Macaca fascicularis: one gene and its partners. The protein of the gene in region 1 purifies or fractionates together with the protein of each later gene. This does not show direct contact. Links are inferred from orthologs where the notes say so. Each region holds a gene or a part of one and is shown in the gene's direction. Other genes may lie near its edges. The genes, in order: LRRK2, CDC37, EMD, RPL23, SSR4, DNM1L and tubulin alpha-1A chain.

Region 1 (3,500 bases):
GATTTTACCAAATATTATCAACCACACTAAAATGTCTAGCAAAATATATGCATTAACAGTACTCTGAAAGACATGTACATTATTAGTTATATGAGCTATGCAGTCTTTTGGATATTATATTTTAGACTAGTGTGACATGCAAAAGAACTCACCTAAATCTTAAGTGTACTTTTCAATAGTTTATTATTTTATTTTTATATTTCAAATACTAGGTTTCTTCAGCAGCGGTTAAAAAAGGCTGTGCCCTATAACCGAATGAAACTTATGGTTGTTGGAAATACTGGGAGTGGTAAAACCACCTTGTTGCAGCAATTAATGAAAACCAAGAAATCAGATCTTGGAATGCAAAGTGCCACAGTTGGCATAGATGTGAAAGACTGGCCTATCCAAATAAGAGGCAAAAGAAAGAGAGATCTCGTTCTGAATGTGTGGGATTTTGCAGGTATTTCTTTCTATAGAATTTTAAAATTCACTTTTACCATTTGTTTTGAACAGGGATTCAAAAACTGAACTTTCTGTTCTAATATCCAGAAACCTGGTATACTGTATAGAATTATTCCAAAGCCCTTTACTTCTCCTAATTTTACCCTTGCCTCCAGAATGGAGGAGAACATGGAGGGATATGTTGGTAACAATACGGTGCTAGGTATTTTGATCGGTTGGTGCCATATATGCTAAAAGTGGTCAATCTCTTGTAAAAACCCAGAATAGTTCTCTAAACATTATCTGTTGTTTTTCTCTTATTAGTATGCTAAATAAAAAATAGTATTATTCCCCCAGATATTTTTTTAAAAAGAGTTCTTGCCTGTTGTTTGAAAGATTTAAAAAATTTGTCTCTAATCTTTATTTAGGTCGTGAAGAATTCTATAGCACTCATCCTCATTTTATGACGCAGCGAGCATTGTACCTTGCTGTCTATGACCTTAGCAAAGGACAGGCTGAAGTTGATGCCATGAAGCCTTGGCTCTTCAATATAAAGGTGATTTATTCTGATCTTTTGAAAATAGAAAATAGTGTGTGTGTGTGTGTGTGTGTGTGTGTGTGTACACGTTAATTTATTTTGGGCAAACAGTTGCTTCAGTCTCTTTAAATACTTTCTTAAAAGAAGCACTAAAGTTTTGAGTTGGGAAACTTTCAGAGTAATTAAATCATAACATGAAAATGGTATGTTCCATATTGGTGAATGTTATTGATAACCCGAAATTCTTTTATGCTGTGAAACTTGAAAATATATATGTTCAACTGTTTTTTTAATCATATTATTTCTTAAATGAAATCTAAATTTTTCTAATTTAAAATAAGCTATATTAAAGAAAAGCAATCTATATATATCATCAACTTCGTACTCAGGGGCCATTTAGTGTGAAATCCTTCAGATTGTATCCTTTAAGTGGTCCCAGATTATTATGCTGTTATGTCTGGAATCTCCCTTTTGTTGCTTTTGTATCTTTTCCTTTGTTGTCTTGTTGTCAGCTATGCCTTCAAACACTGTGGCTTTTAAGAATTGAGACTAAAATGCTGCTTGCATGATGCTGCAATGAGCTCTTCTGTGAGCAAAGTCCTTAAAAAGGCTTGTGTCAGGATATTCAACCATGTCATTTGGCTGCATACATGCTTGTTTTGTAATTTGGGTGTTTTTTAATGTTTCTTTTATTAACTTTTTTACAGCTAGCCAACATGAGCAAATATTACAGTGGCAGTCATACTTGCTTGAATGGCTTTTATTCTTTCATTGTAGACTCCAAATTGAATGACTTTAAAATGAATTTAGAAGATTAAATTCACAGATAAGGAAGAGAAAATATACATGATATGACGTTAATTTGATATAATTTGTGGATTTATGAAATGCTTGTTTTATTTAGGAGTGGATAACTCATCTTAAGGCATGAAGATGAGAAAGGAAAACTATGCTACTACCATTATATAGGCTACCTAAAAGGGATAAAAACTGGATTAAGGAAAGCCTAAAAATGATTTTTTAAAATGTCGAGGTTACGTTGTTTTCTTAGGTTTAAGGAAAAAAGGACAGTTGTTCTTTTCTTCTTCTGAAGTCTGTTAGTTTCTCTTTTCCACTCAAGTGAATGTCATGGAAAGCAAATATCAACAGGAATGTGAGCAGGCCCAATTTGAAAGCAAACACAAGAGGGTTTTGTGTCTTTCCCTCCAGGCTCGCGCTTCTTCTTCCCCTGTAATTCTCGTTGGCACACATTTGGATGTTTCTGATGAGAGGCAGCGCAAAGCCTGCATAGGTAAAATCACCAAGGAACTCCTGAATAAGCGAGGGTTCCCTGCTATACGAGATTACCACTTTGTGAATGCCACCGAGGAATCTGATGCTTTGGCAAAACTTCGGAAAACCATCATATACGAGAGCCTTAATTTCAAGGTAACATGGTAGGCTGGTAGAGAAATGTAATTTATTAATTCTCATGTTATGCAACTGTCTAGAAATGTCAGAAATTTTGAGAAGTGAGCAACTCACTTAAAATTGTGGGGTTTCTTTCCCCGTTGCTGTTAGCATTGTTAAAGTCTTTTCCATTTTAAAATTATTTATACCAGACTTCATTTCTAATTCATAGAAATGGGAATAAAAAATAATTAGAGGACTCTGAGAGAAACTAAGAGAACATTTCTGGGATACTGAGAAAATGTTTCTGAGAGAGAATCTGAGAAAATGTTTTTGATGTCTTTTCTCATCCAACTTCTTGTAGTGGTGGTTCAGTCCAAGGGTAAAGGTGAATACTGAGGTCTTGGGATCATCTTTCTTCTATTATTCTTTGACTGTTATTTTTCCATTTGCTCCTTTCATTTGCAATTCCTATTTTATGGACATCTTGATCCTTTGTGCCACTCCTTCATGTATTTTGTCACGGTGATTCCCATTCCAATTTTTTTCCCCTCTGTATTGTGAGGCAGCTGTTTTATTTAGTCATGAAGACCACTGACTTGGTTTTCGGTAGTATCTCACTAATTACTTAGTTCATACAAAATGGACTTTTTATTTTAGGAATTATGTTTTAAATGTTTAAAATTCTCTTCTGGTAAGCCAAATCTTTATAAAGCATAAATAAATCAGTTATCAGAGACAACCCTCTTTTTTTAATACTTGCAGGAAAAAGAAATATTCACTGGGATCTACAGGGAGTGTGGTGTAAACTGTACTGAAAAATACCCTTGATAGTTCCATATGACAAATATAATGATGAATTTCACTTAGTCCCTCTTGGCTTAGCTCATTAGCACTAATGATCAAGATCCTGGCTGATAAATAGAGTCCTATTTCGCCTGGGCAGTACCAGCGTAATTATTAATAGTGTCCCACTATATTCTCAAAAGCATTCCAATTTGGATGATAAATTATATAGTCACCTTGGTTATAACTCCGCGTTGGCCAGTTAGCTTACATAATCCATTTATATAGATTATGTGTGCTTCTCTGCAAAACCTAATGAGCCATTTGTAAAAGTGATGGATTTTGCGGTGTCCGGGGAGAGAAT
Region 2 (4,259 bases), on another chromosome or scaffold:
CACCGCAGCTCGCAGCCCCAAGCTTACCTTGCGGGGGGGCTGGGGAGGGGATGCCCCGCCCTCTCTGGCCTGGGGGGCGGGAGGGGACGGGGGTGTCCAGACCCTTTGTTTGCTGGTGTGTGTGTATGTGTGTGTGCGATTGTGAGAGCCGCCGGGGTGTGGGTCCGTGCGCGCGCGTGCCCGGGCCGTGACAGCCACTGATGTGCTGGACTGCCAGGGTAGAGGTGAAGAGGGAGGGGGAGGAGATGGGGACTCCTCCGCCCCTGGCCGCCCACTCGCGGGTTTGAATGAAGCGCGAGGGGGAGGGGCGGCAGCGGGAGGGCGTTTTTGTCCGATGGCCCCTCCCCCTCCATGCACTGGGGAATTCCCCCCATCTGGAGACTTTCGCTCGCTCTCTCCGGGCACCGCCTGCGACGTCGGCTCCAGGGGAGACTGGGAAGAGGCGCCCCTCACCCGAGTGGCTGGAGCTCCTCCTATCCAGCCTGACCCCCGATGGAGCACCCTTTAATCTAAAATAATCCTGGCCCGAGACTGCAACGCGGCCTATTATCCTGGTATAAAAGCGTGGATTGGGATGCGTGGAAGTGTGAGGCCAGGGCCCTGCATGCTTAGAGTAATGGAGTCCTTAGAGCCCCGGCGGAGGAAGGGTACCCCCAGACAAACGGGGAGGGACTATGCGTGACCCCAGACTGTGACGAAAAGGAAAGCCCCCTTCCACCCCTCCAAGATTCCCCCACCAAGCGCGGGACCAGGAATACGCGCCGTAGGCTAGACTCTAGCGACACCCAGCGGTCACGCGGGGTGGGGCGCCGAGACCCGTTATGGGGGGTCCGGGTGATTCCAAAGTGTGTGTGTGTGTGTGTGTGTGTGTATGTGCGCGCGCGCGAGTCCTTGCTGCTAATGGCCGGAGCTGGAGGACGAGGAGAAGGCTCCCAAGGCAGAGCCACAATCTCCCCTCTATGTTTAACCCCTCAAGGGGAGGGCCATACCACCCTCTATTTAGACACCCCCAGGGCAGGTCCAGTCCTCCTCGGGCTGAGAAAGTCCCAGGAGTCGTCAGGCGCCCCTCTCCAGAGCAGGCTTAGGTCCCCGTTTACGAAGGGCAGGGGGAGGGCCTTCCCGCCGTGTCCGTACCCCTTGCAGACGTCACTGCGGCGTAGCTGAGGGGACAGTCCTCTTAGTCTCATCAACCGTCCTCTCCCTGCCACCCCAAACGCCCACCGTGGAGAGGCGGGAGATGAGGGGGGCTAGGAGTTGAAGTGCCCACTCGTATGCCCCCAGGAGACCTAGCGGAGCCCCTGCGCCCGATAAGGTGGAGTCTCTGCGGGAACTTCAGGGGACTGGAACGCTTGCGCAAGGCCCTTTAAGGCAGAATGGGTAGCCAGTGCCGCTGCCGCGGTTACTAGGGATGTGACGTCAGGCATGGGCGGGGTTTCCCCCGCACTCGGGCGGAAGCGGAAGGGGCGGGGCTCCGCGCACCAAGTCTCCAGCGCCGCCGCCGTCGCCGCCAACCGAGCCGTAGCGGGCTGGGCCGCCAAGGCAAGATGGTGGACTACAGCGTGTGGGACCACATTGAGGTGTCTGATGATGAAGACGAGACGCACCCCAACATCGACACGGCCAGCCTCTTCCGCTGGCGGCATCAGGTAAGGCGCGCGCGCCCATCCCTTTCCCCACTCCCGGACCCCGCTCCAGAGTTGTGGTCCCCGATACTGCCCAGGGACCCCACTGTTCACACCTAGGATTCTCACCCCCTCAGTCTGGACTTTCAGGAGCCTCGATTCAACTCCAGGACCCCAGTACCACTGGTACCCTGAGTCCCTGCTCGGGATCTCCCCCCAACCCCCTGCTCCGATTTTTGCGTGGGATTCCCTATTCACCCCCTAGAACTTCTTCAGTCTGGACTGCCTTAGACGAGTCTCCCTAATTCTGTTCGGAGTTAACATTTACACCCAGAACTCTGCCTCAAAGTTTGGTCCCCAAATTCTTCTAGATGATCCCTCATCCTATTCGGGTATCCACTCCCTATCTGGGATCTCACGTCGCCCTCCCCCACCTCCGTAGTCTGGACCCCCAATACTTTGGTCTGTCCTGGGATCTACTTTCCGGGATCTTGATCCGGGGTTCCCATTCAGATCCGGAGTCGCCACTCCTTTTCTAAACGGTACAAGGAACTCTGTGCTACTCTGATATTCCTGTCCCTGCCCACACCCGGGACCCCCTTCCTAGAGTGTAGAGCCGTCCCCCTTCAGGATCCTTAGTCTCACCGAGGACTTCGGTTGTGGAACCTGGTTCCCCTCTGGATCTAACTACCAGCTCCACCCCGACAGAGCCTCACATTCCAGCCTCTCCTTTGGCCTCGGGTAGACCCATTTCCCATTAGACCAGGAAATCCTGCCCACGTGGCTTCCGGCCCAGCCAGAGCCCCTGCCCCTACTTGGTATTGCAGACCCTGTCACCACCCACCTCCCAGACTGGCTTCCTGTATGAGCCTTGGCCAGCATTGGAAACTCCCCTAACTCAAGCCCAGGACCCCAAACCCACCCCACCTTGTGTCCCCAACCTGATCGCTACTCTGTGACCCAAATTGTCCCTGCTCTTTTCCAGGGACTCCTGGTCTGATTCTAAATTCACTACCCCTTCTTCTATCGGACCACAACAGAACCCCCAAATCCAGACCCCAGAATCCCAAGTCTGAGTGATCCATGTCCTACCACCCCCTCAGTGCTCACAAGCCAATGGGGTGACTAAGACTTAAAGGTTTAACCTCCTGCTACCCCAAATCACATATCAGTGTCTGTTGTACTCTTTTTTTTTTGAGATGGAGTTTCCTTGTCGCCCAGGCTGGAGTTCAGTGGCACAATCTTGGCTCACTGCAACCTCTGCTTCCCGGGTTCAAGCAATTCTCCTGCCTCAGCCTCCTGAATAGCTAGGATTACAGGCATGCGGCACCACGCCTGGCTAGTTTTGTATCTTTAGTAGAGACGGGGTTTCTCCATGTTGGTCAGGCTGGTCTCGAACTCCTGACCTCAGGCGATCCACCCACCTCGGCCTCCCAGAGTGCTGGGATTACAGGCGTGAGCCACTGCACCCAGCCATGTTGTACTCTTAAACTAAGGGCATATACCTTTCAGAACCTTCTAGTGAGGATCTCTTACCCCACCCTCTCATAGGACAACTCCCCATCATTTATCCAAGAAACAACTAGAAGTTCCCTTCCCCATCATTTTGGAATACTCCAGAATACGGCATTAGTCTCTTTATCTAGCTCCCAGTCCCACCTCCAGACCTCTTCCTTAAATCCTGAGTCTCCTGGGTAGTGTACCTGCCAAGCGAGCCACTGGAGTGTGGGAAGAAAGTTCTAGCGCTTCTATTTCTTGCCGTGTGTAACATTTTATTATGAAATATTTAAGACTTCCACAAAGCTCCAAAGACTATTCTTGGGAAGACCTATTTCTGTCACATAAAGAGGTTAATCTTTACTACTGTGGAGAATGGTTTGGTCCTGCCGAGTGGGAGGGCCCCCCTCCTGCAGCGTAGCGTACCTGCCACACCCTCCTCCCTCTGGCACGGAGCTTTTCCTGTCCTACCGCTGAGAACCCGGTGGTTGTAGTGGCACGTAAGGGAGGCAGGGGGCTTCAGCGTCTCCAGCACAGGTTCAAGGACAGGCAAGCTTGCGTTCCAATCCTAGTCCTGCCTCTTGCTGCTTCTTTCTTTCTTTGATGTGGCAAGACTCAGGCCTCCCTGATCCCGTATGAAACCTGGGATACTATGACCCCACCTCCCTGAGACTTTTGTAAGAATAAATTAAGATTGGGCAGGAAAACTTGGGGCAGGTTTGGAAGGAAGCATTGTGGAGGGGAAGGAGAGATCGCTGTGGTTCTGAGCACAGGCCTGACTAGGTTCAAATCTCAGCTCTGTCTGTGTCACTCACATGCTGCGTGAGTGCCAGGGAATTGTTTGATTGCTCTGTGCCTGAGCACCTGAGAATCTGAATGATGTCCACCCCATAGGGTTGTTGTAAGGGTTACCTTATTCGTTTAATATTTGTAATCCTTTTGGGGCAGTAGCTATTACCGTCATCATCATTTAAATAATTTTTGTGAATGGTTAAAAAAAAATTCCACAGCCACATGTGGGGACACATGCCTATAGTCCTAGCTACTCAGGAGGCTGAGGCAGAAGGATCATTTGAGCCCAGAAGTTCAAGTCCAGCCTGAGCAACATAGCAAGACCTTGTCTGTCTTTCTTTTTTCTTT
Region 3 (3,981 bases), on another chromosome or scaffold:
ACGGCGCCCTCTGCCCGCGCCCACTGGCGTGCCCGTCGGCATGCCCGGGCCCCTTCGAAGGCTGCTTGCTTCTGGAGTGCCAGCGGCCTCCTGGCCCAGTGCCCCATTTCCTCCCGGGTAGAGTGAGGGAGGAGGAAGGGAAGCAGAGAGGTAGGCGGTGGGAAGCAGCAGGCACATGTGCGCGGGCGAGAGCCCTGCAGACTGGGAAGAAGGGCCCGTGGCAGGGGGTCTGCGGAGATCCCATAGGCGCGGGCCTTGCCCCGCAGCCGCTTCCCGAGCAATGCGCACACAAAGCGCCCCCGGCAGTGCCTGGCCCCGGGCCCGCGCTCTCTTAGGGTCCGCTGCCGGGGCGGCCGACCGGGATGCGGCCGGGAAACCCTAGGCTCTGGGGCCCAGGAAAGGGGGGCGACGGCGGGGAGCAGGGATGTGCAGGGACCGGGCGAAGTCCAAGTGACTTAGGGACCAGAGCCACCCCAAGCGCCGACTTCGCCCGCTCGCACGTCCCGGGTCCCTAGCGCGCAGGCCCCATCCCTCTCACCCGGCTGGCTCAAGCGCGCCACAGGGTGACGTCTTGGCTCCCAGCCGTGTCGCCCTCACTCCCGCGCGGGCCCCGCCCCCTGCCGCTAGCCAATCTGTGCGTTTGTGACTTTTGGGCCCGCAGCCCCGCCTACTCCCACTGCGATACCAGTTTGCATTGCCCTGACTCCCGCGCGGGCCCCGCCGCCTACGCCGCTAGCCAATCCGTGCGTTAGTGACGTGTGGCGCCCCTCGCGGCGCGGCTTGCTCCCACCGCGAGACCTTCTGCCCCGCGCCCGCGCGGGCCCCGCCTCCTCCATCGCTAGCCAATCCCCATGTTTGTGACGTAAGGGCTCTCCGCTCCGCTCGCTCCCAACGCAAGACCTTTTGCTCCGCGCCTGCGCGGGCCCCGCCCCCTCCATCACTAGCCAATTCCCGTGTTTGTGACATATGGGCTTGCGGCCCCGCCCGCTCCCACCGCGAGACCGGTTCCCACCACCCTGACTCCCGGGGGCCCGCCCTCTCTGCCGCTAGCCAATCCGTGAGTTGATGACGTTTGGGCTCGCGGCCCCAGCCTCCCAGCTCTCAAGGCCCGGCCGGTCTGTGCCGGCTACTCCCGCCGTTTGGTCCCGCCCAGCGCAGCGCGCGCAGCCTGCGGAGCCAGCGGCCGTGACGCGACAGCGATTCGGCTGTGACGCGAGTGCGGCCGCTCCCGATGCACTCGTGCCGCCCCCGCCGTGCTCCTAGGCAGCCGTTGCTCGGCCGGTTTTGGTAGGCCCGGGCCGCCGCCAGGCCTCCGCCCGAGCCCGCACCCGCCATGGACGACTACGCAGATCTTTCAAATACCGAGCTGACCGCCTTGCTGCGCCGGTACAACATCCCGCACGGGCCTGTAGTAGGTACGCGGCGGCGGGCGGGACCCCTTCCGGGCCCCCTCCTCGTGCTCCGCCCCGCGACCTCCCCGCTGCCCTCCCCGCGCCCCTTCCCCGGACTGCGGCCCTGACCGCCCCGTGTCCGGCCAGGATCAACTCGTAGGCTTTACGAGCAGAAGATCTTCGAGTATGAGACCCAGAGGCGGCGGCTCTCGCCCCCCGGCTCGTCCGCTGCCTCCTCTTATCGCTTCTCTGGTGAGAGCCTCGCCTGTGGGGACGGCCTGGGACGCGGGGAGGATGAGGTAGCGAGGGTGTGGCAGGGGTGCCGGTCGAGAGCGGCACTGGGGAAAGGGGAGGGAAGCCTTGGGGTGGGGGTGGGGGGGCAAACAGTTCTGTCTCCTCCTTTCAATCCAGAGTTGAATTCGACGTCAGGGGATTCAGATATGTATGATCTTCCCAAGAAAGAGGACGCCTTACTCTACCAGAGCAAGGGTAAGGCAGGGGTTGGGTGGGCACGCTGGCACCTTCACCCGACTGCGTCAGGGACCCCGCTCACAGGGAGGACCTGAGACCTCAGTCCCAACCACTCCAGCAGCCTTAGGAGGGAGAAACTGTCACAGGTCCCGAAATGGGATTCAGATTAGGGCCATCGGGCCAGGCGGGGCACACCGATGCCCCCTCTGCTACCGCTGCCCCCCTTCCCAAGGCTACAATGACGACTACTATGAAGAGAGCTACTTCACTACCAGGACTTATGGGGAGCCCGAGTCTGCGGGCCCGTCCAGGGGCTTCCGCCAGTCTGTGACTTCACTCCCAGATGCTGACACTTTCCACCACCAGGTGAGCTGGCTGGCAGGCGTACTGTACTTGGGTACAACCTAGGGGATCGCGGCTGTGTTTGGATAAATCCAGGGGGCCACTGGGTACAAATGGTGGCCCTTGGGCCTCTGGGGAGACTTTGGCTCAGCAGACACCTGTTTGGTCAGGGTCCTACTTTGGGGAGCCCTCAGAACTATGTGACTAGAGCACATAGGATGCGTCCTGCACCCTGGTCTGGGATCTAGGCTCCAGCTCTTCCTGAGAGTCCTGGGGGCAAAGGGGGATGCTGGGGCATGAGCACAAGTAGCAAGGCCCCATGGATAAAAGGCCGAACACCCAGAGTCATTCAGGAGGGTGTGGGTCCCTGGCCTTTAACCAAAGGTCAGAGGGGACCTGCTGGGGAAATTTGAGAGGGACGTGGCAGGGCCATTGTGGCCCTGCCAGCCAGTTCCCTCACCTTGACTCTCTTCTACAGGTACGTGATGACGACCTTTTGTCGTCTTCTGAAGAGGAGTGCAAGGATAGGTATGTATGTATGGGGAAGGCCAGGGACAGGGGCTGGTTCTGGACCCAGGCTCCTGGCCCACCTGCTCCCCTCTTTTGCCTCAGGGAACGCCCCATGTACGGCCGGGACAGTGCCTACCAGAGCATCACGCACTACCGCCCTGTTTCAGCCTCCAGGAGCTCCCTGGACCTGTCCTATTATCCTACTTCCTCCTCCACCTCTTCTATGTCCTCATCATCTTCCTCTTCATGGCTCACCCGCCGTGCCATCCGGCCTGAAAACCATGCTCCTGGGGCTGGGCTGGGCCAGGATCACCAGGTCCCACTCTGGGGCCAGCTGCTGCTTTTCCTGGTCTTTGTGATCGTCCTCTTTTTCATTTACTACTTCATGCAGGCTGAGGAAGGCAACCCTTTCCAGAGGGAGCCATGAGGGTCTGGGCTTCAGAGCCAGGTCTTCTGGGGAAGTCCTGGCTGACTGCCTTAGCAGTGGGGGTGGGGGTGGGTGTGGGGGCAGGGGCAGGGGCAGGGGCTTTTATGTGTTCTTGCTTGGGGGGCGCTGGGCCTAGCCCAGAGTAGTGCTTGCTCCCCCTGCCTTGTCCCACCAGGGAGGCAGCAGATTCAGGCCCTCCATGGGGGCCTGAGTGTGCTTTCCTCGGCAGCCTCCTGGCCCTGCTTGCCTGTAACCCTTAGGGTCCAGGAGGGCAAGGCCTCGCTCAGTCAGAGGAGAACATGGTTCTTGTTGTCATGCATGCCTCCTTTTTGTCATCTTGTTGGGGGGGATTAACCAAAGGCCACCCTTTGTTTTCGTGGACACACAATAAAAACCCCATTTATTTTTAATGCGTTGGCTCTTCCTGGAGGAGAGGGTTGGGCTCCCATGGCAAGGGCCTCTGCGTCTTGGGACTCGAGGATTGCAATCTGGCTTTGTTGGGTCCGCATTTTTGCTTTGGTCTGGGGATAGGAATCAAATGCTACCCAGAGATGTTTGTGTTTTGTTTGGGAGTTTTATTCCCTAACTCATTCCCCAAAGCACCTGTAACTGCTTATACATATAATTGTGGTACAACAAGGCGTATACAGAGAACCCACTTAGAAATTCAGGCAAAGCAGCCGGGCGCAGTGGCTCAAGCCTGTAATCCCAGCACTTTGGGAGGCCGAGGCGGGCGGATCACGAGGTCAGGAGATTGAGACCATACTGGCTAACACAGTGAAACCCCGTCTCTACTAAAAATACAAAAAAGTAGCCAGGCGAGGTGGTGGGCGCCTGTAG
Region 4 (4,100 bases), on another chromosome or scaffold:
TGTATTTTTAGTAGAGACGGGGTTTCACTGTGTTGGCCAGGCTTGTCTCAATCTCCTGACCTCGTGATCCACCCGCCTCGGCCTCCCAAAGTGCTGGGATTACAAGCGTGAGCCACCAGGCCCGGCCACTATTTGTATTTTACACTTGATCTTGGCCAAAAGGCCAAGAAGCGATACTATTTATATTTTTATAATACTTATCCCCATCTAACATACTACATACTGCAATTATTTATTATATCTTTTGTTTAGTGTCTAATATCCTCCTCCACCTGCACCCCAGCAGAATGTAAGCTCCATAAGGACAACAATATTGATCTATTTTGTTGTCTGATGTAATCCGCTGTACGCCCTGGACAGAACCTGCTACAAAGTAGGAGCTCAGTAAGTATTTGAATGAATGCATCGTGGCACGGGAAGAACCCAGAAGAAAGGGGCGGCTGAAGCTGTGAAAGGAGCAAGTGGCCTGGCGCGGGGGCTCACGCCTGCAATCCCAGCACTTTGAGAGGCCAAGGCGGGCAGATCACTTGAGGTTAGAAATTCGAGACCAGCCTGGCCAACATGGCGAAACCCCATCTCTACTAAAAATACAAAAATTAGCCCAGCGTTGTGGTGGGCGCCTGTGGTCTCAGCTACTCTGAGGCTGAGACAGAGAACTGCTTGAACCCGGGAGACGGAGGTTGCAGCGAGCTGAGAGCGCGCCACTATACTCCAGCCTGGGCAAGAGCGAGACTCCGTCTCAAAAAAAAGAAAACAAAAAACAAAAAACAACTGTGTGTGTGTGTGGGGGGGGGGGGGGGGCGGGTCAATAAACAGAGCAATACTGTATATGTAAAATACAGAATGGTATGGTACCAAGAACACATAGATGGAATGATCTGTAGCACTTCTCAATTGTATTACATTGAACGAAACCGTTTGGAGCTGGTTCTCCCCCCTCCCCCACTGTCTTTGTTTCTTTGGGAACCCCCACACGGCACAAACCGTGTTTTAATTCCTATTCTCTAGTGTGCTGATAAGTGCCTGGCACGTATTAAGTTGTCAAAAGAGGTCGTGAGCAAGTTAACAAATCACTGCTTCCATGTCCCTAACTACTCTTAAGCTCCTGGAGAAGAGATTTCCTATCTCTTGCGCTTCTACTTCAACGCCCACTTCAGAGAGGGCTCAAAGTAACGTCGTGAACTTAATACGCAATAAGGCAGCGCCCAGAGGCGGAAGAGGCAGAGTTTTTAGCTCCGGCCACGTGACGAAGGTGGGCGGGGCGTCAAAGTTCATATCCCAGCGTCCTTTGAATCAACTTCCTTTTTTCTTTTTTCCGGCGTTCAAGATGTCGAAGCGAGGTGAGGTTTTGCTTCTGGAGGATCCTCCACCATCTGTCGTGCAGTGGCTGGCGGATTCGTCAGGAGCGGTGGCCCTAGGCAGCTGGGGCGCTTTGCTCTCCTTCAGGCCGGAGAGGGAGAGCCAGGCCATCGCAAGAGCACTGCCAGGGCCCTCGAAAGTGGCAGTGGGGTGCTGGAGAGTTGACATAGCAGGATCCCGACATGAATATAGTCTGGATCCCGCGAGATCGCTCTGCGAATAGGGCTATCGTATTGGGGTTGAAGTTAGACTGGATTAGGCCCTGGTTTGCGCGACCTCTGCGGTCTTATGCTTTGCAGGAGCAATTGCGTTTTGCGAAAGTTGGAACAAGGGCTGAGTCGTCTAGGTTCCTTAATTTCGATGTCAGAGTGGTAATAGTGAGAAATAGGCTACTTTCCGTGAGAATCGGGTGGCACACGGGGAGGGCATAAGTAAAATCCGAGCGAGCTAATCTATAGCATACCATCTGTCAAAGTATGTGCGGTGAATTACAGTTTAAGAGTATGAGAGGGAACTGCGAACCATGTCTAGATAGTGATCTCTTTATCCTGTTTACCTTCCCTTTATATCCACAGGACGTGGTGGGTCCTCTGGTGCGAAATTCCGGATTTCCTTGGGTCTTCCGGTAGGAGCTGTGATCAATTGTGCTGACAACACAGGTGAGGTCTTTGACTGCAGGTTTCTATACTCCCCCTTTTAAAAGCACTCAATGGGCCTGTGCCTAATGACCTATTGAGCCGTCAAGAAAGGGGAGAGTGAAAACATCGCTTTTGGGTGAAGTGGCAACATGTTGTGTTGTTTGCTTCAATCGGTGGTGTGACAAGGCGTTCTTGAGGACTAACTGCTTGGGCAGTCAGTGGAGGGAGGGACTTTGGAAGTGTTTGGGAAATGTAATACTGATGGAACGGCCTGATGGGCCCTCAACATTTTTCATTTTTATTTACATTGATTTGTAGGAGCCAAAAACCTGTATATCATCTCCGTGAAGGGGATCAAGGGACGGCTGAACAGACTTCCCGCTGCTGGTGTGGGTGACATGGTGATGGCCACAGTCAAGAAAGGCAAACCAGAGCTCAGAAAAAAGGGTGAGTAAACACTGAGCCCACCTTAACACTGATAAGTAGTGGGGGGACTCTTTCCTTTATTGGAAAATGGATCAGTTTTCAAGGCCTCAAGGTTGTTTTCCATTGAGAGGCAATGTGAGATAAGTATCTTAAGTTTTTGTTCATATTATGTTGGAGGGGGGACCATCATCTTGTCATTTCCATACTTTAGATTTATTTATTTATTTATTTTTTGAGATGGGGTCTCCCTCTGTCGCTCAGCCCACACTGGAGAGTGCAATGGCACGATCTTGGCTGACTGCAACCTCTCTGCCTCCTGGGTTCTCAAAAAAAAAAAAAAAAAAATTAGAAAATGAAAACGAGAAGCTGCTCATTATTTTATTTTTATTTATTTATTTTTGAGATGTAATCTCACTCTGTTGCCCAGGCTGCAGTGCAGTGGCACATATCTTTCTGTTCACTGCAACCTCCACTTCCCAGGCTCAAGTGATTGCCCTGCCTCAGCCTCCCGAGGAGCTGGGATCATAGGTGTGCGCCACCACACCCAGCTAATTGCTCATTACTTAATCTCAGGCTACCCCCTCATAAGTTTTCCTGTCAGCTGTATGATTTAAAGGGGGAGGCCTCAAAATACTTGCAGTTTGTGTCCTGTCCGGCTTTAGAACTTCTGGTATTTGATGCATTTTAACTTCAGCTCTTGCAGTTTTTTCCTGTGCCTGCCTAGTCTGTCTCTACCCTGGGATGTCTTGCTCTTCTAAAGAGTTCATGGCCATCCCTTGAGTTACAAATATGATGTTGATTTGTTAGCCATGTGTTACAGTTACTCCTATTCCTGTATCCACTCCACGATGCTCTCCAGTAGATTTTTAACCTTTGGGTTAGAAATCTTTTTTTGTTTACCATTAATAGCCACTTGAGGGCTTGGTAGCACTGTGCTTGTGATTCAGCAATTGCATGGGCTTTTTCCTCTTCTCAGAACACTTCCTGGGTCTGATTGGTGGCCCAGGGAGCTGTTAGAGAAGAGCAGAGCAAATGGCCATCACTTTGTAGATGAGATGGCAGGAGAGTGGATTGTTGGTCTCAGTCAGTGGTGGGACAGACCAGAGCTCAGAACACTTCAGTTTTAAAACGAGCTGTGAGTATCCAATTCTGTTAATGTCTTTTTTGGTCCTTGTTTCTGCTAAATGAATACATCCCCTCCCCTTGGAACTTAATAAATAACAAGCACAGAAATGTGCAAAAGGGCCAGGTCTATTTGTCTACTTGATGAATTTGTGAGCATTTAATGGTTTATAAGTAGAGGAGGGTCAGTAAGTATTGGCTGCCTCATGTGTGTCCCATTGCTAACTTGGTTAGACTTATCTATTTTTTGTATAGTCTTCCTGTCATTATAAAAATTCTGTGTAAGGACCCCACGCTAGTATCAGTGAAGATTTGAATCCAGGTGTGTCTGACTCTACAATAGTTCTTCACAAGCATTATATTTTACTGTGTAGTGATACTTGATTTTGAAAGTTGGGAAAAGCATCTTTTTCACTTTAGTACAGATGGGTGTAAAAGTTACTTATGACACTGGAAAGTAAAACTTTAAAAGTAAAACATAAAGCCTGGTGTTTGGGCCCTGGAATTCCAACTGTTTTCCAGTATAAATCTGAATAGCTTGGTCTCTGCTCATTG
Region 5 (4,204 bases), on another chromosome or scaffold:
CAGGAGCCCAGTTGCTAGAGCCATCAGAGCCTCTGGAAAGCCACTATATGCTGCCGTCCTTTCAGCAGCAAGGTAGGAGAAGTCGGCATTGTCAAGAGAATTTCATTAGGCACAAGCATCTCCCCCAGAGGCCAGAAAGAGAAAACAGCAAGTAGAGGTGTCCCTGGTGAGTGGCAACAAAATCACGGAGTTCTGGAAGGTCAGAGTTGACAGGATCCTTTGAAAACATGAAGTCTCCCCTCTGGGTTCCAAAGGGGAAACTGTAACCCAGAGAGAGGAGAAACTGGCCTAAGGCCACGCACTGGGTCAGTGGGGGAGCATGGCCTAGAGGCCAAACCTCTTACCCATCAGGGCCAGCTGCTTCAGATGGTTTCCAGCCCACCTAGGACCTAAATTAACCTCTTCTTAAATAAGCGTAAGGAAAAAGGACTCAGACCTGAATACGCAAGACCGCAGACCAAGAAGAGCAGAAGCAAAACCCCCGCAGCCTGAGAAACCCTAGCTCCTTCCCATTCCAGGCGCCTCGGGGGGAAGGCATCTGGGGCTCTAAGACTGTGGGAGGATGGGGTATGACTGGCAAAGTCCGGTTCTTTGCCACCGGGACAAGTGGCAAAGCGGTCAACGAGACGGGAACCCATGGAGAAATTTGAGTCCCGGAACCGGATTCCCGAAGCGGTTTGAGAAAGGCGGGCCGGGATACGTGAGTGACTGCGTCAAAGGGCTCTTTCAAGGACAGTAAGGAGGTGACAGCCGCCGTGGCCCACTCTCCCGGCCCGTCCGGAACCCCCCCCCCCGCCACCCGATGCAGACGCCCTGGGGGAGCCGGCCCAGGGCCAACTTCGGCCAATCCCCTCAGTGACAGCGGAGGCGGCCAATCAACCCCGGCGCGCAGCCCTCTCCTAGCCAATCGGACTCCAGACTGCTTCGGGAGCGGCTACCCCACCGCTCCCCTGCGAGCGCTGCCGCGGCCCCGTGGCCCTTTCCCTGCTCACCTCCCAGGGACGGCAGAGAAGGGCTGGCCTGAGCACTGCCTTCGCAGCGCCGCCGGCGACCGTCGCTACCTTCAGCGCCATGACGGAAAGTGAGAGCCTCCGCACGTCCCGTCACGCAGACACCGCTCTCGCGAGAGTTCCACGGGGTGCGAAGTTTCGGGGACCGGCGCGGGCCCGGTACTGCGCACGCGCGCGGTCTCACCGATTCCCACGCCCCCTTCCGGCGCCTAGAGCGCCGCTGCCGCCATGTTGATGGGGGATCGCGACCAGCTGGGCCCCTGTCTCGGGGAGGGGCCACGTCAGTGCTGCCAGAGACGTCACAATGCCGGCCCGGCCCTTCGGTGCACGATTGGCTGCCGCTGTCACTTACGCGTCGCTCTTCCTCGTTTGCCCCTCGTGTTCATGGGAGCTCGTTTTCTTTTCCTCTAGGCAGAGAAGAGGCGATGGCGGCGATGGCATATCTCGGCGCCCTGGCGCTGCTCCTGCTGTCCAGCCTCTCCCGCTGCTCAGGTAGCGGCCCAGTCGGGGCTTCTTTCTGGCGAGCCTCTGACCCACCCCACGTGGTGTTGAGGGGAGGAGGGATGCGGGGGTCTGGCTTTTCGGGGTCCGTCGCTGAGAGCCGGGCCTTCCTCCGAGAGGCAGGCGGCCTTGGGACGCGGGGACCAAAGCACCTCGGGCACGTTTACCGGCAGCCAGGCTTTTCCTTGTCTGCCCATACGAAGAGGAGTCCCGGAGCCTCCACCGTGCGCCCGGCCCCCAGCTCCAGCACGGAACGTGACACATGTCCCCGCTCCCGCTCCCCGCGGGGTCGGACCAGAACGAAGCTCTGTAGTGCTGAGCGATCGCGGTCAAAAACGGGGCTGGAGGAACCACATAAGCTAGGAAGGGACCTCAGTGAGGAGAGGGAGCAAGAACGGGGCGAGTTAGATGGGGAGCCAGAGGTGCGCAGGACCTTGAGTGCCAGGCCGAAGACTGGCCTTTCCGGAGGGCCCTGCCTTACCCTTACCAGAGTTTTCGGCAGAGCCTACCAGGGGTCCCGTCGATTTGCGTTCATGAGGGTCTGAGGCTCCAGAGTGTGTTTAGGAGGTGGCTGCAGCAGCCAGTCCCGGGCCCGGGGGCCAGGACTGGACAGGGGTGGCTTTCTGCACATTCCCTTTTCTGCCGTCCTTCAGGCCAGTAGCCTTGCTGCCTGCAACGTTTTGCCAGCTTAACTGGCCTCCCTGCCCGCACCCTCTTGTCTGCCCCTCAGGAATTCCCTGAGTTATAGCCAGGGACTTATCCAGAGGACAAGCCTGGCCATAAAACCCTTTCGGGGGCTCCCCTGCGCCACAGGAAGCAGGCCCAACTTAGGCAGGACACAGAAAGGCTGGTAGGATCTGGCCCCTGAGAGCGGCCTCCATGCTGTTCCTACGGATCTGCCTCCTCTGGTCCGGACCCAGAGCCTTCTCTGACGTCCTCTGCTGAAGCCGTCATTCTGCCGGAGCATCACATTTGGACAGCTGGTGACTGAGAACGTTCCCATTTTGGGGAGCCTTTGTTTCACACCCTCTGATGTAGGCGGCAGCCTGTCTTTCCTGTGGGCCTCTGTGGTTATGGAGAAGGCTAAGGCAGAGTCCTTTCTCTCACAGCTGACAAGTTGTGCTTCTGGAAGCAGAGCCTCTCCTGATGACTTCCTCAGGAAACGCTGGGGCAGTGCATTGCCTGCCTGCAGCCCTACCCCTGATGTCTCTGCTGAGGATGCCTTCAGTAACCCGTCCAGGCCGTTTGTGGTTCTGAATGGAGGCTGGCCTGGCCCCCTGGCCTCCGTGTCATAGGTCCAAGCGTTGGCATGTATTGTCCAGTGAATCCAGCGCCCACCTGTCCCCAGCACACGCGTTCGCTCTTCCTGCACACCTCCAGAAAGCCGGCCTTGCCCCTCTCCAGTCTGCTTTCACAGCCATCCCACCTACCTTGCCACTGCATTTGTGACCGAGCACTTGGATCTGTCTGGATCCCACCTGGAAGGGACAGGAGGATCCCGTGCGTCCTCAGCTGATCCGTGCTGTGAGGCAGGGCCCGGCCATCCTGCCCTCAGACTGGGATACTCGAGCTGGCCTTACCCAAGCATCTCTCCCTCTTCCCTGCAGCTGAGGCCTGCCTGGAGCCCCAGATCACCCCTTCCTACTACACCACTTCTGACGCTGTCATTTCCACCGAGACTGTCTTTATTGTGGAGATCTCCCTGACATGCAAGAACAGGGTCCAGGTGAGACAGTGGGGTTTCAGACAGGAGGGCGGGTGGGGGTGCTCCTCACTGCCAGTTGATGGGGGACCCGTGTCAACAGAGATTCCAACTCTTGGGGTGCTGGAGAGATCAGGGCACGGCGATGCCAGATCCTAGCCAGTGTTGACAGGTCACCTTCCTCACCTGCTTTGTGTGCTGTGCCTACACGAGGTAACACTGGGCTCACAACCTGTGTCCCGAATGAGTATCTGAACCGGGAGAAAGGGCAGCCCACCCTCGTTGCCATTGGCCAGTTTGTCTGTGTGGGTGTTTTGTCTTTGTTTTTGTTTTTTGTTTGTTTTGAGACAGGGTCTCACTCTGTTGCCCCGGCTGGAGTGCATTGGCACGATCTTGGCTCATTGCAGCCTCCGCCTCCCGGGTTCAAGAGATTCTCCCCTCAGTCTCCCGAGTAGCTGGGATGACAGGCGCTTACCACCATGCCCAGCTAAGTTTTGTATTTTTTGGTAGAGACAGGATTTCGGGTGTTTTAACTTCAAGATTGAGGAGCCTTGGCCTTGGCCCCTGACCTACGTTCCCAAAAGTCCAAAGAAGGAAATGGGGCCTTTTTTTTGGGTATGGCTCTCTTAGGGTAAAGCACCCCTTGGGCAGCCCACTGGGCATCCCGGACCCCAGCACCTCCCTTGTAGACTCAGGAAAATCACTCGGCCCTTTTGATCATCCCGCCCCTGCTCACAGTCAACAAGGTTCCTATGCGTCCAGTTAGGTCCGACCATGGGGATCTAGCCCTGTGCCTCCGTAGGGAAGACCGATGCAGAGGGCCAGTCACAGGATTGGTGAGTGTTACCTGGAACCTCCTGCCAGGGACACTGCAGCCCCCAACTGGGCCTAGCCTACCCATCTGCAGGCCGTGTGAGCAGCACACAGGGTTCCTCTGCCCACACCCAGAGAAGGCAGAAGGTGACCCTGCCTTTGTCTCCTCACCCAGAAC
Region 6 (3,500 bases), about 11 Mb from region 1:
AAGTGCTTTGGCACCTGCCTCCCAGGAGCCCTCCCCCGCTGCTTCTGCTGAGGCTGATGGCAAGGTCTGTTCTGATTCTTAATCTAAGCCTGCATGCCTAGTTCTTTGGTACAACATAATCTTCTGGAAACAATACACTGAATAGAAGAATATTAATATGGGATACCATGCTAAGGTCAGATCACTTTAGTCTAATATATATTTTAAAATTATATAACAATGCAATGCAGAGTTTATATTGTTGACATGCTTTTGCTTGCAATATAGAAGATGCACACAGAAAAAGAAGTAATTTAAAGAGGAGATTATCCTGCACTTTTAAAATTTCAACCCATTGGTATTTAAATTTTGCTTGTTAAATTGCATGTTTTAACATATCTTTCAACAGTTAATTCAGGACAGCAGAAGAGAAACTAAAAATGTGAGTCTCTTGCTTCAGAATGGAAATGTTGGTACCTCTGGTTCTCACTGAAACACTGTCTGTAACACCATTAAATAACCTGTTTGTGTAGTGGTATCTATCTCTTGTCTGTGTTATGTTCTTAATGTTCCTTTTATCTAACCGGTGGAAGATGGCGTTAAACGTTTTAATTAGTAACAATAATAGGCTTTCTCACTGTTTTCTGTGACCTTCAAGAATAGTTTTAAATTTTGATAGGAAATTTAACATATTTTGATAGGAAATTCAGAGATTTCCTAGATTTCAGAGATGGAATTGTATTTTTGGACATTTCCTTTCCTCTTTAAAGATCTTGAGATCTGTTCAGTACTAAAAGATAATCCTCTAATCTAATGCTTCTTTCTCATGCTTCCAGTTAGTTTGCACTTGTTACCCTATATATAGCTTCACATATGCTTCAGAAGCTTAAGCAAATTAAAAACAAACAGGGGGACTGTGAGAGTTTGAGACTGTTTTCAATTCTTAATAACAATTTTAGAGGAAAATTAAATAATGTATAAATTATTCAGACTCATTGCTATTTCAAGATTTTCTGCCATTTAGTTCCTTTCCTTAATTATCCAGATTTAAAGTTCTGAACTTGAGATAAAGGTTTATAAATGTCTTATCTTCTCTCAGCTCCACTGTGCTCAGATATTAAGCAAACCATCTAAATCACTGCACAAGTTTTATTTCATTCATGACATCACACTGAATGTGCTCACTCTCCTTAAGATTTCATTTGGTATGTCATTCATGTATAAAAACCTAATTACTCATTTTTAAGTTAATGTGTAATATAAATATACTAATATTTATAGTTCACCTTAACTGACATATTAAAGACAGATTTAAGCAAGTATTTCGATTCAGAATGCTACCCCAAACTACCATTTTTCTTACTGCCATAATCCTCTATTAAATTTATATAATCCATTTTTAGATTGTAAGCTCTTAAAGAATAACTAAAAAAAAAAAACCCTCTTAAATGTTGATGAATTATGTTTTTCCATTATAAAGTCATTTTTGACTTTTAGAAGTCAAGATTAATAAATTTTCTAGAAAATAAGGTGTAAAAGCACTTGTGATTAATGTGATAGCACTAGATTTCTTTCTGCAAATCCTTAAGAGTACAGAGGTTGAGGGGATTTCTGTTGTGTTTATCACATTCCACATTTGAAAGAACTCATAGTGACTGTCAGCCTACGAAAAGCAAATGTAGTCTTGTTTTCTGTTAAAGAGTTCCTACTGATACCTTATGGCATTTTGTTGACTATAGGAATGTAAATTGACTTGAAATACATAAACTCTTAACTTCAGAGACATAAGTTCATGGAACTTTTAGAGTTTAACAGTGTTTATGATTACTTAAATTAAACTGAATGGCAGTTCTTTGTGCTTTTAACGAGTAGTTTTGATTTTAAGGGCAGCATATACTTTTTCTACAATTTAGTGTTTGAAGGGTGGGAGAAGAGGAATGATTTTGAAAAGTTGGCGAGCAAATGATAAAGAAAAAAGGAATTAAATAGAACATAAATTGGTTGATGCCTTGCAAACAATTTACAGCAGAACCTCTTATTTAGTTAGGTCAGGGTTTCAGTTATACATGCTACCTACTGTCTCCTTCTGACCTCATTATCTGTATGAATAAACTTCAGATGGGTACTGGATGTATACTGACTACTGTCAAATAAAACGAACTTCGTTTTAGTTAAGGTCAGATATGATGTGGTTGGTATAGGTTTTGGAACATGTTTTTTCAGGTTGCATCTGGAGGTGGTGGGGTTGGAGATGGTGTTCAAGAACCAACAACAGGCAATTGGAGAGGAATGCTGAAAACTTCAAAAGCTGAAGAGTTATTAGCAGAAGAAAAATCAAAACCCATTCCAATTATGCCAGCCAGTCCACAAAAAGGTCATGCTGTGAATCTGCTGGATGTGGTAAGCCATGACACTTTGGTTTAGGTCTAATAAGATGACCAAGTTAGTAGGAAATTGATTAGACAGAAAGAACTAAAGTCTCAAAAACTTACATAACTTTCAGATGTTAAATGCTGCCATTTCAAAGTGTCACAAAAGTAACATTTTTCCCCCCTCATCCCTATTTAGCCAGTTCCTGTTGCACGGAAACTATCCGCTCGGGAACAGCGAGATTGTGAGGTTATTGAACGACTCATTAAATCATATTTTCTTATTGTCAGAAAGAATATTCAAGACAGGTTAGTATTACTTAATATAAATCACAGGCTCTAATACTGCTGGATGATTCTATGATCTGTTTTGAAAAATACATGTATTTTTTAAATTTTAGGTTTTTATTCTAAATCATCGAGTGGATTCTCTGATAGTCCTTTGGTAACTTGTAGCAAGACTCAGTTTGTTAACACAGAATGACTAGGACCTCATGTATCAGCTAGAAAAAGCTATTAAAATGAATCTTTTGTTCTATATGGCTGCCACATTTTGAGTCATTTAAGAAAATGTTTTTTTCCTAAATTTTAATTCAGTAGTTTCATTAACTATTTTGGCTAGTAACACTGACTTGCCTTTTTAATTTAACTTGGTTTTCCAAAGCATCAAAACGAATGTCTTTTACTAAGAAATATGTATACGGTTTCTCGTTCAGAGTGTTTTTGCATGTGTCTACTCCCCTACTGCATCTTCTCCTTCATGTTGCCTGGTATGTCATTTCATGCAGTAATAGGGAGAATACACATTTAGTTGTATGAAGTGATCTATTAGAAAATATTCTGTATCCAGTTTTTGGTAATCTGTCAGCAGCTAAGATGAATTTTACTGCACAGAGTAATAAATATACTTCATATTGAAATAAATGATTTTGTCTGTAGAACCATTTATCTTTTTTGCTTGTAGACTTTTTAAACCTGTAGCTTGTGGTAGAAATAATAGTTCCTAGTGTTTTACACTGTGGGCCTGAAGAAAAAATTCCATTTGTCTCCTTCATTGCCCCCATCCCCTGCAGAGGGTGTTTTTGTTTTGAGATGGAGTCTCGCTTTGTCGCCCAGGCTGGCGTGCAGTGGCATAGTCTTGGCCCACTTCAA
Region 7 (2,017 bases), about 9.2 Mb from region 1:
GTAAGCTGGTATGTTTCTTTTCAAGAATAAAGTAAATTAATGAGCCTAAAGAACACATTTGAAATACTGCTTTTTTTTTTTTTCAAACAGAATTGAACTGTTATTTTAATAAAGAGTGGAATGAGTCGTTCTTGTGGGGTTTTTATCAGTTAAAATGAACTATTTGGTATCATTTTGTAAATGTTAATGAGAATTTTTTAAAAAGCATTTGTCAAAATAAGATCTAAATCCTGGGAGATGTATGAAAAGTGAAAATATATTTCCTATGATTGTACTACAAAGAACAAAAACTTAACCTTTCCTCTGTTTCTCTCTTTTGTAATAGGCTGACCAGTGCACCGGTCTTCAGGGCTTCTTGGTTTTCCACAGCTTTGGTGGGGGAACTGGTTCTGGGTTCACCTCCCTGCTCATGGAACGTCTCTCAGTTGATTATGGCAAGAAGTCCAAGCTGGAGTTCTCCATTTACCCAGCGCCCCAGGTTTCCACAGCTGTAGTTGAGCCCTACAACTCCATCCTCACCACCCACACCACCCTGGAGCACTCTGATTGTGCCTTCATGGTAGACAATGAGGCCATCTATGACATCTGTCGTAGAAACCTTGATATTGAGCGTCCAACCTATACTAACCTGAATAGGTTAATAGGTCAAATTGTGTCCTCCATCACTGCTTCCCTGAGATTTGATGGAGCCCTGAATGTTGACCTGACAGAATTCCAGACCAACCTGGTGCCCTACCCCCGCATCCACTTCCCTCTGGCCACATACGCCCCTGTCATCTCTGCTGAGAAAGCCTACCATGAACAGCTTTCTGTAGCAGAGATCACCAATGCTTGCTTTGAGCCAGCCAACCAGATGGTGAAATGTGACCCTCGCCATGGTAAATACATGGCTTGCTGCCTGTTGTACCGTGGTGATGTGGTTCCCAAAGATGTCAATGCTGCCATTGCCACCATCAAGACCAAGCGTACCATCCAGTTTGTGGATTGGTGCCCCACTGGCTTCAAGGTTGGCATCAACTACCAGCCTCCCACTGTGGTGCCTGGTGGAGACCTGGCCAAGGTTCAGAGAGCTGTGTGCATGCTGAGCAACACCACAGCCATTGCTGAGGCCTGGGCTCGCCTGGACCACAAGTTTGACCTGATGTATGCCAAGCGTGCCTTTGTTCACTGGTATGTGGGTGAGGGGATGGAGGAAGGCGAGTTTTCAGAGGCCCGTGAAGACATGGCTGCCCTTGAGAAGGATTATGAGGAGGTTGGTGTGGATTCTGTTGAAGGAGAGGGTGAGGAAGAAGGAGAGGAATACTAAAGTTAAAATGTCACAAAGGTGCTGCTTTTACAGGGAAGCTTATTCTGTTTTAAACGTTGAAAAGTTGTGGTCTGCTCAGTTAATTTGTATGTAGCAGTGTATGCTCTTATATACAATTACTGACCTATGCTCTAAAACATGAATGCTTTGTTACAGACCCAAGCTGTCCATTTCTGTGATGGGTTTTGAATAAAGTATTCCCTGTCTTAAATGAATTCAGTCCTGTGTTTTCTATCTGGGTGTCTGAAATTTTATTTAGTGCATTGAGAATAAAGAATAAGTGTTGCCTGTGGTTTATACATATCCTATGACGTGACGTTTGTGTTTTAAAGTATCTTAGGAATTTAAAACTTTTATTTGTGAAACATAAAATGTATATCTAAAGATTACCATCACAGAGCATCACGTACTTTTTTTCTTTTTTTTTTTTTTGTGAGATGGAGTCTTGCTCTGTTGCCCAGGCTGGAGTGCAGTGGTGTGATCTGGGCTCACTGCAACCTCCATCTCCTGGGTTCAAGAGCTTCTCCTGCCTCAGCCTCCCAAGTAGCTGGGATTATAGGCATCCACCACCAATCTAATTTTTGTATTTTTAGTGGAGACTGGGTTTCACCATGATGGTCAGGCTGGTCTCAAACTCCTGACTTCCAGTGATCCGCTCGCCTCGGCCTCCCAAAGTGCTGGGATTACAGGTGTGAACCACTGTTCCCGGCT

The links.
Region 2: the proteins of LRRK2 (region 1) and CDC37 purify together in Homo sapiens (co-immunoprecipitation; 8 studies listed by BioGRID and IntAct, with this or other methods). This does not show direct contact. The link is inferred for Macaca fascicularis from reciprocal best matches to the Homo sapiens genes LRRK2 and CDC37.
Region 3: the proteins of LRRK2 (region 1) and EMD purify together in Homo sapiens (co-immunoprecipitation; 3 studies listed by IntAct). This does not show direct contact. The link is inferred for Macaca fascicularis from reciprocal best matches to the Homo sapiens genes LRRK2 and EMD.
Region 4: the proteins of LRRK2 (region 1) and RPL23 purify together in Homo sapiens (affinity purification with mass spectrometry; 3 studies listed by BioGRID and IntAct, with this or other methods). This does not show direct contact. The link is inferred for Macaca fascicularis from reciprocal best matches to the Homo sapiens genes LRRK2 and RPL23.
Region 5: the proteins of LRRK2 (region 1) and SSR4 purify together in Homo sapiens (co-immunoprecipitation; 3 studies listed by IntAct, with this or other methods). This does not show direct contact. The link is inferred for Macaca fascicularis from reciprocal best matches to the Homo sapiens genes LRRK2 and SSR4.
Region 6: the proteins of LRRK2 (region 1) and DNM1L purify together in Homo sapiens (co-immunoprecipitation; 6 studies listed by BioGRID and IntAct, with this or other methods). This does not show direct contact. The link is inferred for Macaca fascicularis from reciprocal best matches to the Homo sapiens genes LRRK2 and DNM1L.
Region 7: the proteins of LRRK2 (region 1) and tubulin alpha-1A chain purify together in Homo sapiens (affinity purification with western blotting; 4 studies listed by BioGRID and IntAct, with this or other methods). This does not show direct contact. The link is inferred for Macaca fascicularis from reciprocal best matches to the Homo sapiens genes LRRK2 and TUBA1A.

Annotation. Positions count from the first base shown.
Region 1 is NC_088385.1:46,790,266-46,793,765, forward strand, and holds part of LRRK2 (leucine-rich repeat serine/threonine-protein kinase 2), read left to right. Parts: intron 1-212; coding exon 213-442; intron 443-851; coding exon 852-979; intron 980-2,170; coding exon 2,171-2,389; intron 2,390-3,500. UniProt on the Homo sapiens protein: Serine/threonine-protein kinase which phosphorylates a broad range of proteins involved in multiple processes such as neuronal plasticity, innate immunity, autophagy, and vesicle trafficking.
Region 2 is NC_088393.1:10,965,632-10,969,890, reverse strand, and holds the start of CDC37 (hsp90 co-chaperone Cdc37), read left to right. Parts: upstream 1-1,459; 5' UTR 1,460-1,544; coding exon 1,545-1,646; intron 1,647-4,259. UniProt on the Homo sapiens protein: Co-chaperone that binds to numerous kinases and promotes their interaction with the Hsp90 complex, resulting in stabilization and promotion of their activity. Inhibits HSP90AA1 ATPase activity.
Region 3 is NC_088395.1:160,350,052-160,354,032, reverse strand, and holds EMD (emerin), read left to right. Parts: upstream 1-1,181; 5' UTR 1,182-1,333; coding exon 1,334-1,415; intron 1,416-1,538; coding exon 1,539-1,643; intron 1,644-1,802; coding exon 1,803-1,880; intron 1,881-2,094; coding exon 2,095-2,228; intron 2,229-2,682; coding exon 2,683-2,732; intron 2,733-2,816; coding exon 2,817-3,141; 3' UTR 3,142-3,551; downstream 3,552-3,981. UniProt on the Homo sapiens protein: Stabilizes and promotes the formation of a nuclear actin cortical network. Stimulates actin polymerization in vitro by binding and stabilizing the pointed end of growing filaments. Inhibits beta-catenin activity by preventing its accumulation in the nucleus.
Region 4 is NC_088390.1:59,850,097-59,854,196, reverse strand, and holds the start of RPL23 (large ribosomal subunit protein uL14), read left to right. Parts: upstream 1-1,300; 5' UTR 1,301-1,327; coding exon 1,328-1,340; intron 1,341-1,934; coding exon 1,935-2,018; intron 2,019-2,049; exon of another isoform or gene 2,050-2,184; intron 2,185-2,315; coding exon 2,316-2,444; intron 2,445-4,100.
Region 5 is NC_088395.1:159,854,312-159,858,515, forward strand, and holds the start of SSR4 (translocon-associated protein subunit delta), read left to right. Parts: upstream 1-1,404; 5' UTR 1,405-1,435; coding exon 1,436-1,502; exon of another isoform or gene 1,503-2,494; intron 2,495-2,620; exon of another isoform or gene 2,621-3,118; coding exon 3,119-3,237; intron 3,238-4,201; coding exon 4,202-4,204. Other genes in the region: IDH3G (isocitrate dehydrogenase [NAD] subunit gamma, mitochondrial), read right to left, coding at 993-1,073. UniProt on the Homo sapiens protein: TRAP proteins are part of a complex whose function is to bind calcium to the ER membrane and thereby regulate the retention of ER resident proteins.
Region 6 is NC_088385.1:35,334,089-35,337,588, forward strand, and holds part of DNM1L (dynamin-1-like protein), read left to right. Parts: coding exon 1-64; intron 65-388; coding exon 389-421; intron 422-2,202; coding exon 2,203-2,379; intron 2,380-2,547; coding exon 2,548-2,657; intron 2,658-3,500. UniProt on the Homo sapiens protein: Functions in mitochondrial and peroxisomal division.
Region 7 is NC_088385.1:55,999,726-56,001,742, reverse strand, and holds the end of tubulin alpha-1A chain, read left to right. Parts: coding exon 1-8; intron 9-325; coding exon 326-1,306; 3' UTR 1,307-1,517; downstream 1,518-2,017. UniProt on the Homo sapiens protein: Tubulin is the major constituent of microtubules, a cylinder consisting of laterally associated linear protofilaments composed of alpha- and beta-tubulin heterodimers.